Arabidopsis thaliana: one gene and its partners. The protein of the gene in region 2 interacts with the protein of the main gene of each other region in a pairwise test. Each region holds a gene or a part of one and is shown on either strand. Other genes may lie near its edges.

The links.
Region 1: the proteins of KAI2 (region 2) and ZML1 interact in binary tests that used the Arabidopsis thaliana proteins (3 or more experiments, as listed by UniProt).
Region 3: the proteins of KAI2 (region 2) and SKP1 interact in binary tests that used the Arabidopsis thaliana proteins (3 or more experiments, as listed by UniProt).
Region 4: the proteins of KAI2 (region 2) and AT2G43610 interact in binary tests that used the Arabidopsis thaliana proteins (3 or more experiments, as listed by UniProt).

What each region holds. Positions count from the first base shown.
Region 1 is NC_003074.8:7,420,259-7,425,427, forward strand, and holds ZML1 (ZIM-like 1), read left to right. Parts: upstream 1-1,777; 5' UTR 1,778-1,963; intron 1,964-2,563; 5' UTR 2,564-2,573; coding exon 2,574-2,867; intron 2,868-2,983; coding exon 2,984-3,076; intron 3,077-3,149; coding exon 3,150-3,283; intron 3,284-3,371; coding exon 3,372-3,503; coding exon of another isoform or gene 3,504-3,507; exon of another isoform or gene 3,508-3,874; coding exon 3,875-3,980; intron 3,981-4,107; coding exon 4,108-4,179; intron 4,180-4,277; coding exon 4,278-4,340; 3' UTR 4,341-4,647; downstream 4,648-5,169. Other genes in the region: AT3G21170 (F-box/associated interaction domain protein), read left to right, coding at 1-902. UniProt on the Arabidopsis thaliana protein: Transcriptional activator that specifically binds 5'-GATA-3' or 5'-GAT-3' motifs within gene promoters.
Region 2 is NC_003075.7:17,616,154-17,620,623, reverse strand, and holds KAI2 (alpha/beta-Hydrolases superfamily protein), read left to right. Parts: upstream 1-1,967; 5' UTR 1,968-2,260; coding exon 2,261-2,628; intron 2,629-3,134; coding exon 3,135-3,579; 3' UTR 3,580-3,965; downstream 3,966-4,470. Other genes in the region: AT4G37480 (Chaperone DnaJ-domain superfamily protein), read right to left, coding at 29-907, 1,040-1,363.
Region 3 is NC_003070.9:28,514,893-28,518,459, reverse strand, and holds SKP1 (S phase kinase-associated protein 1), read right to left. Parts: upstream 1,942-3,567; 5' UTR 1,746-1,941; coding exon 1,437-1,745; intron 1,180-1,436; coding exon 1,006-1,179; 3' UTR 564-1,005; downstream 1-563. Other genes in the region: AT1G75960 (AMP-dependent synthetase and ligase family protein), read right to left, coding at 1-273; AT1G75945 (uncharacterized protein), read left to right, coding at 2,651-2,754, 2,966-3,047. UniProt on the Arabidopsis thaliana protein: Involved in ubiquitination and subsequent proteasomal degradation of target proteins. Together with CUL1, RBX1 and a F-box protein, it forms a SCF E3 ubiquitin ligase complex. The functional specificity of this complex depends on the type of F-box protein.
Region 4 is NC_003071.7:18,087,299-18,091,209, forward strand, and holds AT2G43610 (Chitinase family protein), read right to left. Parts: upstream 2,074-3,911; 5' UTR 1,887-2,073; coding exon 1,436-1,886; intron 1,155-1,435; coding exon 760-1,154; 3' UTR 514-759; downstream 1-513.

The DNA of each region.
Region 1 (5,169 bases), on a different chromosome or scaffold from region 2:
CTAATAATTATTCAACAGAAGTCGATATAGGCCACGTCTTTCACTGCGATGGCTTATTGCTATGCACCACCAAGGACTATAGACTGGTGGTTTGGAATCCGCTTTCAGGTGAAACAAGGTGGATTCAACCAAGATTTTGCTACAAGAAAGATGACTGCTATGCTCTCGGTAGATCCTCTTGCAACAAGTACAAAATCTTGAGGCAGGGTCGTCTTATCAATCCTAGCGAAGAACGTTACGTGTACAACATCGTGGGGGAGGATCTTGTTATCAACAATAGCCAAGAACGTTACGAGTACGAAATCTATGACTTTAACTCTAATTCGTGGAGGAGTATTGGTGTGATCACCGGCTTGTTCAATCCAAATATCACCAGTGGCGTGTCTGTAAATGGAATCACTTACTGGTTTGATATTAGTGAACAATTCTTACTAAGTTTTGATTTCTCAACAGAGAGATTTGGAAGTGAGTCTCTCCCAGAGGGTGATAGTCATTTGGCTTTATCAGTGACTAGACAAGGGAAACGACTTTGTATGTTATCTACTAATTACACATACGTAACCGGAACAAACGTTAACTTATGGATAGCAACGAAGACTAGTGAGAACACCAGAGCAATGTCATGGAGCAAGTTCCCAATACTGCGGGGCGGAGTTGGTCTACGCTATCGTTGTCATTTTAGGGAAGGGGTGAGTTTCTTCGCATACCAAGTTAAGGAGAAGATTGTTGTAGTTTCTTGTCATAGACCCAACCGGCACTCCAAGGACATCATACACATTGTGGAAAATGATAAATTCATAGAATTGGATCATCATGGTGCAAAACCTACACATGAATTATCTCCTACCCCACGTCTCCTCATATATGTTCCAAGTTTGGTTCAAATTCAACATGGTATTTAGTTCTTTGGAGGAGGCACCAAGTCAGCCAGTGCATGGCCTTGTAATTGTCACACTAGTCTATGCATTATCTAATCTAACTCTTGATATTTTATAAGTAAGATATATGTACGCATTTCTAAGTTATAACTTGTTGCTACCCTTTTGCTAGTGGATAATTCGAGGCACATGGCATTTTCATAATTGGTCAATTAGTTATTAAGTACCAAAATTTTGAAAAGGAAAAAAATTAGAAATGCTTAGAACATATTAGAGCAAAACATATGTAAATTTTGTGCAAGAATAAGGGAAAAGCAAATAAAATCAAAATAAAATTGTATATTGTGGAATTAAGAAATGAAAGAGGAACGCAATTTAGTTTTAAAATCTGACATATTAGATATAGTTGAGTCAATTGTTTTCCACCGAAGAATTGGTTGTGGTTCCATCTAACTTAAGATATTTTGTGTTAAGATGGTTTATTTGTAGAGATATATTATAATTATATATGATTTCTAACCAAAACAACAAGAAGTTTTTAAAGATGGGTACAAATTGAATTAACTAATGTAATTCCACATTGTCATTTGGTAAAAGAAAGATATCTTGACAAAAGAGATTAAAAGAATTATGTGAAAAACCTTGGCGACCTTAAACCATCTCCAATGTCTTTATATCTTTGGCATCATTAAGAGTAAATGTGTATCTTGATCAAACCTGAAACCACTAAAGAAAAACATATGAACTCAAATAGAGGCCAATTAAAGATGAGGTCCAAAGAATAGGGAGTGTCAAGCCTTTCACAAAGACGACGCCGTTTGGCTAAAAAAGGCCCAAGATCACAACGACGACGTTTGCTGAAGAAAAATGAAAAATCTTTCACTACAATCATTAGACCAAAAAAGAAAAAAAAAATCAAAGGAGCTTCCTTTTTTCGCTCTCGTCTCCGTTTACCCTTTTGGGATTTTTCCCTAAACCTTTTTCTCTCTTTGTATAATCAAATCCTCTTTATCTTTCATTGTTTCGCGTGAATTAGCTCTGCAAAGGCTCTTCATTCTTCTCGCTTGGATTCCTCTGCACAAAAGGTACCCATTTGATGTCAATTTTGGTTTATTGTTTTGATTGCCCTGTCCAAGTGACAAGTCTTTGTATGTATGATATAGGTAGTGGGTTCTAGTTTGTAGATGAACTTGTCGAATTTGGAGGGTTTTTAGTTGGAAGCATTTATATGTGGGATTTGGAATTGTTCTGTCTATTTGTTCTTAGCTTAAAGGTTGGGACTTAGCTTAGGACTTATGAGCATGAGAGAAGGAGACTTTTTTTCCAATTCGAATCTGATTGATGAAACTTTTTTTACTGGATTTGGGTAGATATTGTTACGTTTTAAGGTAGTTGACTGTTGTTAGTTGTTGTTTACTCGAGATTAGATTATTGTCATCTACTCTTGTTATAAAAGAAGCTCCTTTGTACTATATCAGTGCTGATAACTATTAATGAAGTTCCTTTCCCTTAGGTGGAGATAGTTTCTTTGTATTTGCAAACTCAATTTATGTGAGAATATATCCACCATTATTGAGTTTCTTCAACCTATACCGTCTCTGACAATCTCGCTTTTTCGTTATTAAGAACGTTCCAGTCTTAATTAATGTTATCTTCCTTTGGATGTAATTGGTAACAAATTGCAGAAAAAAGACCATGGATGATCTTCATGGAAGAAATGGTCGAATGCACATTGGTGTAGCGCAAAATCCAATGCATGTGCAGTATGAAGATCACGGTTTGCACCATATCGACAATGAAAACAGTATGATGGATGACCATGCTGATGGTGGGATGGATGAAGGAGTGGAGACAGACATTCCTTCTCACCCTGGAAACTCAGCTGATAATCGTGGTGAAGTTGTAGACCGTGGAATTGAAAATGGAGATCAATTGACATTGTCCTTCCAGGGACAAGTTTATGTTTTTGACCGTGTCTCGCCTGAGAAGGTAACTTTAAGTTAATTTTGGTTCTTTGATGTTTTAGTTTTGGATACATATGGTCAACGTATCCACCTGGTTGGTTTTGTTTTTCGCTTATTGAAGTGCTGCTCAATATTATGCAGGTTCAAGCTGTGCTTTTGTTACTTGGTGGAAGGGAAGTACCACATACACTCCCAACAACCCTAGGATCACCTCATCAGAACAATAGGGTACTGGTAATAAAAGATTTAATACCATATGGGAAATCAGTTTATTCCCCAGTTTGTTGCTGACTAATAAATGAACCAGGGTCTATCTGGTACTCCTCAACGGCTTAGCGTTCCGCAGCGGTTAGCTTCTTTGCTCAGGTTTAGGGAGAAACGAAAAGGGAGGAACTTTGATAAGACTATTCGCTATACAGTCAGGAAAGAAGTAGCCTTGAGGTACGTTTATGTCAAGTACTAGCTTTTGTGTATGTCGAGCTTTTGAGATACGTCTGTTTTGCAATTAAGGTTTTGTTTGTTCATGCAGAATGCAGCGTAAGAAAGGTCAGTTCACGTCGGCTAAATCAAGCAATGATGATTCTGGATCCACTGGATCGGATTGGGGGTCAAACCAGAGCTGGGCCGTAGAAGGGACTGAGACTCAGAAGCCAGAGGTTTTGTAAGTTGAAAATGCTTTAAATTTCTTACAACAGTTATATTAACTTTAGTGAACTCGTTATAAAACCTCAATTAAGTCTAATACATGGAAACAATTTATTTGGTAACCATTTAATGACGCTCTTTTCACTTCCATAAACTTTGTCTATATACGTCAACTCTGAAATTTATAGTTATACTTATCATGATGGCATCACTCATTCGATACCTGCAACTGATAACTTATACTTGTGAGAGGATAAAAATAACTGAACCGACTATGTTGTTGCATGTTAAGTCATTGTAGTTGATATGAACTTATTTATAGCTTGGTATACTTGGAAAGCTTGTCTCTGTTCTTATTCTTCGTCAAATGGTTGTGAACATGTTAAGATGTCGACACTGTGGAACAAGTGAGAAGTCAACTCCAATGATGCGACGTGGACCTGATGGGCCAAGAACACTTTGTAATGCGTGTGGACTGATGTGGGCAAACAAGGTAAGCTAAGAGTTTCTTAGTTCACATTGATCACCTCGTCTCGTATCACTTTTTTGACTCATTGATCAGGCCTATATATCCGAGTATGAACCTAACAATAACATTCCCTTTGACTTTATAATATCAGGGGACTCTTAGAGACCTATCCAAAGTCCCTCCTCCGCAAACACCTCAGCATCTATCTCTGAATAAGAATGAGGTGAGCCGTGAGCGCAGTATTTCATAGAGCTGGAGTTTTGATTTGCTTATTAAGAGAACATACATTCATTTTTTTTTTCTCAATCACTTTTGTTGCAGGACGCAAATCTTGAGGCTGATCAAATGATGGAAGTAACTGGTGACATTAGCAACACACAGTGAGAACTGAGAAACCATTGGAAGCAAGAAAGGATCTCAAACAAAAACAGTTGTTATCATTTCATTTGATGATGGAATCGAATCTGAGTTGTGTTTAGGGTTTCTCTGGGTTAATCTCAGTCTATGTGGGCACATTTTAGTCTTCTACAAATTATAAGACACTCTTCACTTATTTAGAAGCTCACTCATCAGAAAAGAAAAAAAAAACTTTGCTCAGTCTCTCATCTGTGTGTTTGATTATATTTTCAGGCAGAAAACTTTTTTTTGTTCTTGTATTTGATTACAATTAGTTAAATATTTAAGACTTAGTAGAGATAATGCAATCTATGTATAAAAATAGAAACAATGATTGGTTATGTCGTGCAACCCAAGTGACCTTAATGTCGTACACACGTTCATCAGGTTAAAACGAAATTTCTCAGCAACTTCACTATTCTCTCTGTCACATTGTTTTATTCTTTTCCATTATCTTTATTGGAAACTTGATTAGAAAGAACTGATTAAGGTATGAAGATAATTAGTGTACCATTCTTCACATGATACGAGGTGAACAATAGTATATCAGAATACTAGAATAATTTTATAAGTTATAAAGATGAATGGTATACCACTTATTACAAAACGAAAACATAGTTAGATCTGAGAAGAAGGAAAGATTTTTGTTTTAAAAAATGAGATGGTTAGATATATGCCATGTTAAGAGATGCCACCATGTTCTTCTTCTTCTTCTTACCCGGAAAAAACTCTTTCTTCTTCTCTTTCCCATAAAAAGAAACAAAAAAAAACTAACTTCCCACAAATTTTGCCAAACCAAACCAAAAATAGTAATGAT
Region 2 (4,470 bases):
GAAATGCTAGATCATATAAGTCACAAACCAGAAATGTCCTATGTTTCATTATCACATGAGTCTTAGCACCATTCCCATCATAGACATAACATGAACCTTCATCTGGGATTGTCCCAAGACCACTTATAGTTCCAACAAGAAGTCTGGCACCACTTTCATTTCCCGGAGGCGATTCAGTGCCATGATTAGATCCTTCATCTGAATTGAGGAAAACGTGTATAAGATCGTGATCACCCTCAATTTGTTTCTTTTCATGATACCCTTTTGGGGGAACCCTAATGGCTGTAGCAACAACTCTTCCAGATACATGCAGCTGAATATCTTTATACGCATCAGAAACATGGTTTTTACTTCTTGAAGATTGTATATGAGATATCTGAAGACCAATCCTTTCAGCAGACATCATGTCATTGTTGCCTTTCTCAACTGCTTGACCAAGGTCCGAATCCATAAACGACGACAAAGCCAATTTCTTTGAGCAAGCAGAAGAAAGCTCAAGGAAGTTATCAACCAAGGAAACCATACCAAAAAGATCCCGTCCTGATACCAAATGCAAAACCTCTCGTGTATCATACACAGACCTTTCCTCAGCTTCAAAACAATCAGGAAGAAGCTCAACAGATTCAACATCAGGCCCAAAGTAGGCCGCTCGTATAGCTGAATAAAAATCTTCTTCAAGTTCATCTAAGTAACCAGTACCATTTGCTACTCTCTTCTCCAATACTATATCATGTATTGCTTCTCTATACCACTTTAACCATTCAACTACTTCCATCTCTTGACTCAATGTCAATCCTGTTTTATACCTGTGAATCATATAACCTTGTCCCGAGTGCTTCTTCATTACCATTCTCCGAGATAGCAAATATCTATCATAGTGTGCTCTCTTTTCAGAATCTGATAGAATCTGTATCATCACCACAAATCATTCATCAGACACTTCTAAAGCTATAACTCTATCACAAAAGCTTGAAAAGCTTGAAATTTTCGATTTTGAAACTAATCATAAGAGTGAAGAGTGAAGCTTTCTTCATTGTACCTCATAAGCAGCGAGAATCTGAACGAATCGTCTCGAATTTGATGGATCTTTCTTGGATTCGATCAGATCAGGATGAGTCTCCTTGGCGAGTCTGCGAAATGATGCTTTGATCTCTGCGATTGAGCTGGTTTCGGAGACATTCAAGATATCGTAAGCGTTCTCCACCGGAAACTCGTTCCGATTGGACTCAGCCTCGCCGCTCAGCAACCGAGTTCTTCCTTGACTCGGGTTAAAGAGAATTCGCGACGGTTCGAAACCGTAATTCAGTTGAACCGGAACTAATCTACTAAAACGCCGGCGTATCAACCCGGCGAGAATCGTCATTTCACGACCAGTATGGTTTACTCAGGTGGGAACGGAGACCGGAAGTGGAAAGAGGATAACGGCACGCCGATGACACGTGGGTCTCTCGATTTCACGCCACGTCATCACGAGTTCAGACTTTATTGGTCAACAGTAAAAACGGTCTTAGGAAAGAGAGAACATGAAGCCATATTACACTAAATGGGCCTTGAATTTTAATGGGCCAGGATCCTCTCACAGATATTTTTGACTCTTAAAATGATGAGGAAGTGGATGTGAATACGTGGTCGTATACTCACCATGGCATTCCATGAATAATTAATGTCTTCTAACTTCTAAATGATCGAAAAGTACTGACAAGTTAAAGTCAAGCAGAAAAAAACAAATATTATGAGGTTTTTAGATGCTATATTCATTGCAAGTTGTATACATGCGAAATTTAACTAGTGTTGTTAAAATAATAATTATATCAGCTTTTGACTATTTGCTGCCACTCTTTGAATGATTGAAACTAATTTTCTTTCGCATTAATGCATTGTTGAAATTCATGCACAAAATTAAAAATAATTGGTTCATGTATTTGTAACCCAATGTAACAATTTTATTGTTGAACAGAAGTCAGTAACTCCACGTCATGTACTCCATTAAATGTTCCAAAATATTTTGGGCTTGATTCCAAAAAACAAATTATCACGAATAGCGATGTTTGACAATCCAACAAACATGGTTCCATTCACCTTTTTTTGCCACCTGTAAATCGCGATATTTTAAATAATTTATTTCCTCTTCCACAGATACGAATTTTTTTATAAAGAATAATACGTAACACTCTAAAACAACACAAATATCATAATTTCTCCACGAACTGACTAAGAGAGGTACCAAGAAGAAAACCAGAGAAGAATCTTCTTTAGAGAGATGGGTGTGGTAGAAGAAGCTCACAACGTGAAGGTGATTGGTTCAGGAGAAGCCACGATCGTGTTAGGTCACGGGTTCGGCACGGACCAGTCAGTATGGAAACACTTGGTTCCACATCTGGTCGACGATTACCGCGTCGTCCTCTACGACAACATGGGAGCCGGTACGACCAACCCTGACTATTTCGACTTCGATCGTTACTCAAATCTCGAAGGCTACTCTTTCGATTTGATTGCAATCTTGGAAGATCTCAAGATTGAGTCTTGTATCTTTGTTGGCCACTCTGTTTCTGCCATGATTGGTGTCTTGGCTTCTCTTAACCGTCCTGATCTCTTCTCCAAAATCGTCATGATCTCTGCTTCTCCGAGGTATAACTTTTTCACAAGTTGTACATAGAAATATGTTTTGCTTTTTATCTCATCCTGACATAGTTTAGACAAAAGGGCTTCTCTGTTCCTTCTCTTGTCTGATTTCATAAAAACTATTAAACATTACAATTTAAATAAAAAAAAATCATCTTAAGTCCTTAAATTTACACAATTATCTATTATTTCGAAATATTTATTTCTCATTCTGACATAATTTCGACAAAGTGCCTCTTTGTTTATCCTCTTGTCTGAATTATCCTATTTCTCAAAATCAGTGAAGCATTTCATTATATATTTCAATAAAAATCCGTAAATTATGAACAAAAAATCATGAAATACCCATTTGTTTATTTGTTTTTTTTTATTTGGTTTTACTGAGGTGTTACTTACACTTTTTTTAAAAAAAATTGTTGAAACGGTGCTCACACAGTATATTATATATTTTAATTTTCTTCTGACAAAAGAAACATATATAATCAAATTATATTGTTTTGGTACGTTTATAGATACGTAAACGATGTTGATTACCAAGGTGGATTCGAACAAGAAGACTTAAACCAACTATTCGAAGCCATCCGAAGCAACTACAAAGCGTGGTGCTTAGGTTTCGCTCCACTCGCCGTCGGTGGCGACATGGACTCCATCGCCGTTCAAGAATTCAGCAGAACACTCTTCAATATGCGTCCCGACATAGCTCTCTCCGTCGGCCAGACCATTTTCCAAAGTGACATGAGACAGATCTTACCTTTTGTCACTGTTCCGTGTCACATTCTCCAAAGTGTTAAGGACTTAGCTGTACCAGTCGTTGTCTCCGAGTATCTTCACGCCAATCTTGGCTGTGAATCCGTCGTCGAGGTTATTCCTTCTGATGGTCATCTTCCTCAGCTTAGCTCACCAGATTCTGTTATTCCTGTCATCCTCCGTCACATTCGTAATGACATTGCTATGTGATTGTAAGAGATTTAATTAGTTAATTATTAAACGATGTAAGAAAAGTTGAAAAAAAATATCTGATGTGATATGTCTGTCTAGTCTATTGAGAACATTATTTCGTTGTCGTTTGGTTCTGATTCGTTTATCTTGAGTATCTTGATCTTTGTTGTTCTTATCTTGTTTAACGAAAAGTCTCTGTCTTTTGTCCACAGCTTTGCTCAGAGCTCATTATTGCTTGATGTAATAGTGATGTTCGTAATTGATGGTCCATAGTGAATTATTGCAACTTTGCAAGAGTGCTTGTGCTATACTGTGTGAAGAGTAATTAACATGTGATACTAGGAATTAGCATTGAGTTTGCATTTATGGATGGGTAATCCAAACCATAAAACATACATATTGTGATGGTTTTGAAATTTGTTTGTTTGTGAACAAAAATTAGCCAAGTTTTAAACAAAGTAAAATGAAAATTTAGGGTTTTGAATTAGGATGGAGTTAAGTCATATTTTGTTAGGTTTGTTTGCTTATGAAATTATGGATTTGTTTGATGTTATTATAGGGATGCGGTGCAAAAGATATTGTTTTCTATATTATCATTTATCACTAATAACTTTCAAATTTTATTGACGCGCCTGCTCAGATTTTATTCGATTTGTTGTTTATGAAATTAGTTATAGATTGGTAAGTAAATAGCTTTAAAAAATTAGTGATACAAAACAAAATGGTAAATATTGTATTGCTTCTTACTAGTCAATACTATGATTAAACTTCCATTTTATAATTCACTTTATATAAAACTTCTATTTATTTTCTTAAAATTATTTTATTATTGAAATTTAAATATCATTTGGTACAATATTATTTCTTCATCACTAGTCAAATACTATGATTAGCCTACCCAAAAAAAAA
Region 3 (3,567 bases), on a different chromosome or scaffold from region 2:
GATCGCGCCAGACATCGGAACGGAAAACTGGAGCTCGTACATTTCCGGAGTATTAGCAGATAGGACAGAGACAACGTCGGATCTTCCTATTCCAATGGAAGACAGAGCAGACGCGACGCAGAGGCAACGGTGATTCGTTTCTCGCCATGTGTACACGGTGGAATTGCCGTAAACGATGGAGGTACAGTCTCCATACACGGTGGCTGCTCTCTCAAGAAAGCCTAACAGTGTCAATGGTAACGAGTTAGCGGCACTTGGCTTCAAATCTTCCATTTTCTTTAGCTCTTTTCGAGTGACCACAATGTGAGTGTTACTGTATATAAAGAAGATATCTCTTTCAGTCTCATAGTAAAGATAAGATACACAATGACGAGACGAGAGACCACTTGACTAGCCAGACAAACAATTAAAGTAATTATATTGATGTACATGTGATCCACGTTCGGTTGAGTGGAAACTTTGTTTTCTTATATGCAAACAAAGCCCACATGTTATCGAATGTTGACGAATGGGTGATGCTGATTATGTTAGTATTTGAGAAGATGTTGACAAGATACAAATACGTGATGCAGATATTTATGTAAGTAGATGAGCAGGAGCAGGGCATAACTGGTGACCATTGGTTTCAATGAGTAGTCGTCATGATCCTTCACATTCTGCTTGCAGACTCTGCCAAATTCAGTTTCTTTTTATTTACACATGAACATTCCTAAAATGAATCGTGCAAATTAGCATTCTGTGGCGATTGGCAAGACAATTGAAAGAAGTTATTTTGTAAGACAAACCAACATCACTCTTGAAGATTATCTAAAAGCACAAATTATCCATCCCACAAAGAGTAAGAAACATTGGTTCTTGATAAGAAAGAAAGAAGAGGAAGAAGATAGTCATGATTCATGAAGAATATTAAAAAGCAAGTCATCAACAACACTTGAAAACGGCAATAAACATAAGGAAGAAGAAACTGGTTGCTTGCTGCTTTTGATTCTTCTCTCTGAAGATCAATCATTCAAAAGCCCATTGGTTCTCTCTGCGAACCTCTTCCTCTTCCTCTGGTGTGAAGTCGTTCTTAATGTTGAACGTTGTGCGGATCTCTTCTGGAGTCTTTCCTTTGATCATATCCGCAACTGTCTGACATGTTAGATCAAGCAAGTTCTTGATATTCAGGTAATTAGCAGCCTGCACAAGATCCCAAATTCATAACCATTAGATCAAAATCCGAATCCAAAAACACAGATATGATTATAATCCAAATCGATAGATTCAATTAATGATTGGTTCCATAAGAACCCTAACAATATCAATCTCAAGCAGATTCAATTTCTGAAACAAACACCTAAATTTCGAAACCCTAATTTTCCCAAATCGAAAACCCTAGAATCCCAAAATTCAAAATTCGATGGAAAAATCAAATCAGATCGAGAGAAGAAACATACCAGAATGAGTTCAAAGAGAGTAGCTTGATCGATCTTCATAAAATCAGCGTCCCAGGCCTTAAGATCGTCATCGGAGGTAGCAGCACCCTCGACGGCCTCGGCCTTAGAGGCAGCAGCCTCGACGTGCCTCTTGCAATACTCGATCACCTTGGCGAGGATCTTGCTCGTGACGTTAGGAAGAGGGACTCCGTTGTCGACGCAGTCGTCTTCAACCATATGCGCTATGGTTTGTGACTCGAGAGCCACCGCCTCCTCAACCTCGAAAGATTCACCATCGGAACTCTTCAACACAATCTTCTTCGCAGACATGGTTATGGAAACGAAGAGAGAAGAGAAAGATTTTAGATTTGGGAGATTTGTTCTTTGAAGAAAATTTTGGAGAAGCGATGAATGAAATAAAGAGATGCGTCTCTCTTTATATATAAAACAATCCCTAATTTTGATAAGTCGGTCGATTGTTAAAAAGTCGCAAGTTTAGGGAAATTAGGAAATTGTTTCAAATTTTGTTTTTCTAAAAGAAAAATAGAAATCAATCCTATTGATTTTAAATTTTGTTTTCAATAGTTGAAATTAATGAAATTAGGACTCTGTTCTATTTTTCTTTTGGAAATATTAACTTTGATCCGTTTAATTCGTTGTATTTATCTCATTATTAATAATATATGATTTTATATATATTTTTTTTCCATCCAGCTCCATAATTGTCAAAAAAAGTAAAAGAACCAAAAATCACCGTAGGATAAGTATTAGTCAATCAAATCAGCTTTGTCAGCTTTAAGATCATGTTTTTTGAACATTTATTTTTATTTTATATTAAGTTAATATTAATATGTCATAATAAATAATATATCTAACTAGTTTTTGGTCAAGAGTCATACAATATTTTAGGCCTGGGATAACGGTTCAACCCGAGAAAACCGAACCGAAAAAAACGAAAATTTTGGTTTTCGGCAGCAACCGAATTAAGGAGATCGAACCGATCGGCCAAATTAATTTAAGAATTCGGAAGTCGGTTCGGGTCGGTTCGGTAATCGGAACCAATCGGTTTCACCCATACCGAGAATCTGCAGCCATATATAAGGTTAATTGATGAGTCTTAACCTAATTAGGTTTCTTCTTCGTTTTTGGCTCTCTGCCTCTTGCGAAAACAACAAAGAAACTTTGATATTTTTCTTCGATTGAATTAGTAATCATCAACTCGTCTCTTCTCCTTCATGAATTCATCATCTTCCAAGCCTCTTTCATTCTCTCTAATCTCAGTTGGTCTTACAAAAAACCTTTGCTCAGAGATTCAACCCACAACCTCAACTTTCTTAGGGTAAACTCTTCTTATTTCTCTTTAATCATTTGTTTTGTTTGATTCTTTGCTCTCTAAGCTCTTCCTCTGTCTCTATAATTTCTGAAATTTTAGAGTTAGGCTTTACACTTCCAAATCTGAGATTATCCATTATTTTTATGGATCTTTTATGGTTTACACTTCCATCTCATGTTTTTTCTTACTTCATGGATAACAAACGGGCGTTTAACAGGTCTCGTAGGGCATTACGTCGTCGGAATGGTAGATCACTAGATTGGAGAGGCACTGCTCGACGTCGCAGTTTGGAGTTGTAGTCGTACATATTTTTTTTGTCAAAACTCAAAACCCTAATTTTGTAATGGACCTGACCCATAATTGTGTTGTGGATTTGTAATTGTAACTGTATATTTGTGTATTGGGCCTGTTGTTTGTTTTTTATTAGATTTCATTTTTGTAAGTCCATTTTTTTAATTTGTGGTTTATTTGGTTCAAATTAACCGAATTAGAAAAAAAATCGGTTTAATCCGGAATTTAATTTATACCCAATAACCGAACCGAAAAAACCGATGTCCGAACCGACCCGAACCGAATTTTTGTTCGGTTCAATTCGGCTAGAAATTAAAAAATCCAAAAACCCCGAAAAACTAAATAAACCGAACCGATTAAACCGATATATCCGAACTCCCAGGGCTACAATATTTATATAATGCTGTGGATTTTATTCTCTCTTTCATTTATTTCTTAATGGGTAATATATATTCTTAGATATAATATTCAACTTTGTTTTGTTTTCTTTTCTAGTTATAACTAATCATATACATCAAGATAAGGTGT
Region 4 (3,911 bases), on a different chromosome or scaffold from region 2:
TGCTTTGTTATCAATGTTCCATCCCTATGACTTTCAGATGCACTTAAAAAGGAGCAAATTATATAAACATGTGGAATAATTAAAGAATCATTAAAAAAACAAAATCGAAGGTGGTTCTTAGGAAATTAGATTCAGATCACCAAGTAACCAGTATGGCCTCCAGTTTAAGCCAATCCCAAAACAAAAACACTAGTTTATTTTTACAGAATCTAACAATAGCATAAAATGTTACCCAAAGACTAGCACATCCTTAATAATTATGTTGTCATATCTACGATGAATTTCATGACGGTTAGAAATGATCGGATCATATGTGATCTATAACATTATTCCTCTTCTTTTTTATTTGTTTTGGTTGTTATCATCAATCACAAGCCTCGTTTGGTTCCGCTAGTACTCTAATTTCTTTTCTTTAAAACTTAATAAGAAAAGATGTGATGAACTGATGATAGAAGAAAAGATGTGATGATAGAAGAAAAGTAATTTTCGTTACTTATATGCATGTATACTAGTCTAGTGTGAAACACAGGGAAACCAATATATTGATTGGATAATACTTCCATCTTTATTACTTATGCTAGCGAGCGGATACAAACAACACACAATATAGTTACCTTAAGAGACATCAACCACACAATATAACTTCTAATCTCTTACAAATTTTATAAGTTCTAGTATTTTCGACTTCACTTTATTATTCGATACGAAATTCTTAACCAGACGACATTAATGAAAAACCCTCATAAACTAGTAGTGTCTTCAACATGAGAGATTGGTTCCAGGAGTGACCCCAAGCTTCTTGCAGAAGTCCAAGTAATGGTTAACCCTGCTCTGCACTGCAGCTGGACGCCCACCATTACATTCACCACCGTTGATCCTCCTCGTGGTTGCACCAAACCCTTGGCTCAAAACCGGACGCACATTCTTGTTCCAAAACCACATGGCACACTGGAAAGCCACAGTTGGGCTACGAGCCACCATATCTGGGTCCTTCAAGAGAGGAAGTCCAAGGAACTTTCCGGCTGCACCATAGTTGTAGTTCCATGTGATTTGGATCGGACCGCGACCATAGTAGTTCTTTCCGGGTTGACAAGGATATGTTGTGCTTGGTGAGCAGTACCTTCCTCTGGCTATTTCTTCTTTGTAACAAAAACCTTTACATAACCAAACAGATAAACTTTATTTTAAACTTGTTTTAGACACATTCTTGGAACACATTTTGGTAATATATATAGCTAGCAAATCCTTATTTCTTATGAGGAAAATATTCCTGTCTCTATATTTTTCTTCAATTATCAAAATAAAGTTTTTAATGCAAACTGATAAATCAGATATTTATATAAATTTTTAAACATGATAATACTTTAATAATTCCTTTTTAGACATTTTCTGATACATAAAAAGAATAATAGAATGTAGTAAACGGTGAACTTACTTCCAGATTCGTGAGAGAACTGAGCCAACATGGCGGCAATCTCACGCTTAGCAACAGTTCCTTTGTAGGCTGCGAACGATTCAGCGGCTGCGATGAAAGCCTGGCGAGTGTAAAACCCTTTCGCTGGGCAACCGCTTCCGACTTTACTCATGATGCTGTTGAAGAACGCTGGTGTGATAACGCTTGCTATGGTACCACGAGGACCAGCATTTAGACCGCCACTACCGCTTGGAGTCGGAGTAGGTTTAGGTTTAGAGTTGCAAGGTCCACTCTGGCACCCAGTGCCACAGTAGGCTTTTGTGGTACCACAATATCCCCACCTGCTGCAGCACATGTTGCCTTTACACCCGTTTGTACCACAGTTTTGTGAAAACGCGGTTCCTGTCATGATGGTTAGAGTAAAGAGGAAAATGATGAGAGCTTTTTTCAGAATCGCATTTTGTGTCGCCATTTTTTTCCTTTGATGGAATGTTTTGAGGGGAGAGTTGTGTGAAGAAACTAGGAGGATATGTGGCCGTATTTATGGTGTAATATTGATAATACAAAATTATGTTTGGTCAAATCTTAGTTAATGTTTTATAAGAAAGTCATGACCCATTTCCTTTTCTTGTAGTTGTGATTAAGGAGAAATACTATGATGATTTGATTATGGACTTGGTCATAACGTTTATACTTTATAGCTGAATTAGACTAAGACGAAAACGAATTTAATAAAATCATTTTCAAGATAATATTTTTTAGAAGAAAAAACAAGTCGGATTGGGTCGGTTTAAATTCATAAACATCCTATTAGAGCGACTAAAATCTTGTAACATTGAAATAATTATATTTCGAGATGGCTAATTAAAGAACAATGAAAATAACCACGACGTACGTAGTTTAGCATCAAATAATTCAGGTGAAGAATACTAGAATTTGTACATTGTACGTCATTAACATAAAAATAACTATAATACGTAATATGTTGCTTAACAGTGTATATTTCACATTATACTATATGTTGCTTTGTTTTCTTGTTGTAGGATTTCATGAGAGTCGTCCGTATATAAACTTGACCATGTACTATTATTTCCATGTCGTGTAATCTCTATCTAAATAGTAAAGACACGAAAATAGTTTTTTTTTAAACGTCTCTATCTAAATAGTAAATACATGAAATAGTTTAAGACCCATTAATCAATTTTTGTACATATGATATTAATTATATCCAGAAAGTAAGATTTTGTTGAAAAGACTTTTTCAACGACGAGTGAAACATTTAACCACAAGATGTGCTGGTCAACTTAACTTTAGAAATTCGCTAAAAAAATTTTATAAAATAGTTTGAAAACCATTCTCAACTGGACAAATTCTAAACCGTCGAACTATCCAATAGTTTCTGATTGGTGTCTCTTAGGAATACTAATTAGCGCGGAGATCGTTCAGTTCAACATGATTAAAATACTTTCTAACATGATTGCTGAATATATATTGTTGCTTACTTTTTTTTTGGGGTTAAATTTTGCAGACTCACGCATTCATCAATATTGCTTGCTTATACTACACTCAAAAAATAAAGGTATGTGATACGATTTTTTTTTTCAAACCTATTTGATACAATTGATTTCAAATTAAAGCCCATAAATCCGTATTAAGATATGCAGCTGTTATATATATAACAATCTTTTCAAGGAACTTGCGGTGGTCTGGAAATGATAATCTTAAGTTTTCTCACGTAAAAAGAGTTTAGTTAACATTGCAAACTAATAGTAGTAGAATTATCATTAATGAAATGTTGTGTTGACTAAAACGTTAATAAAAAAGGGGTTCGCGAGTCACGACAAATAAAGAGGTTTTACTTAAGCGCTAATTAAGGATCCTTGAATGCGTTGACGTGGCCCTATCCATTCAAATTTCAAAGTCAACTCAAGCATGTCACATGCTCATGGCCTCATGTGAAGGAACTCTTTGTTTTTTCAAGATGTAAGAAGTTAGTTAATAGTAATACTAATTGTTTTTAACAGCCATGTGGTTGTTTTCAAGATGTGTTTGTTTGATTCGTAATCTTAAATTATAACATTTAGGATGATTCCACGATACACAGATCAAATCTAATCTTGACTATCGCAATACTTTAACTCAAATCGGATTTGATCTTGAGTGAGCTTATGTTTTTACTTATTTTATTCAGTAGCCGCTATTTTTCATGTGCTAATTGGTATTGTTTTTTATCTAAAACTATTTCCAATTTTTCTGTATAAAAAATGTTTAATTTTATAATTTGAACCAGATGTTAATCAAATTTTTTTTTTCCGCTATACTAGTAACTTTAAAGGTATTTTAAAAAGTGGTCTGAACCATGCCTTCAAGATCAATGTTTACGTCAAACTTAACTAACTACAGACTATAAACGAAACGTTAGTTCTATTTTTCGGCTAGCTCGCTTTCGCATCATCATAAAACTCTTCATATATATATGAGATATTGTATACATTAT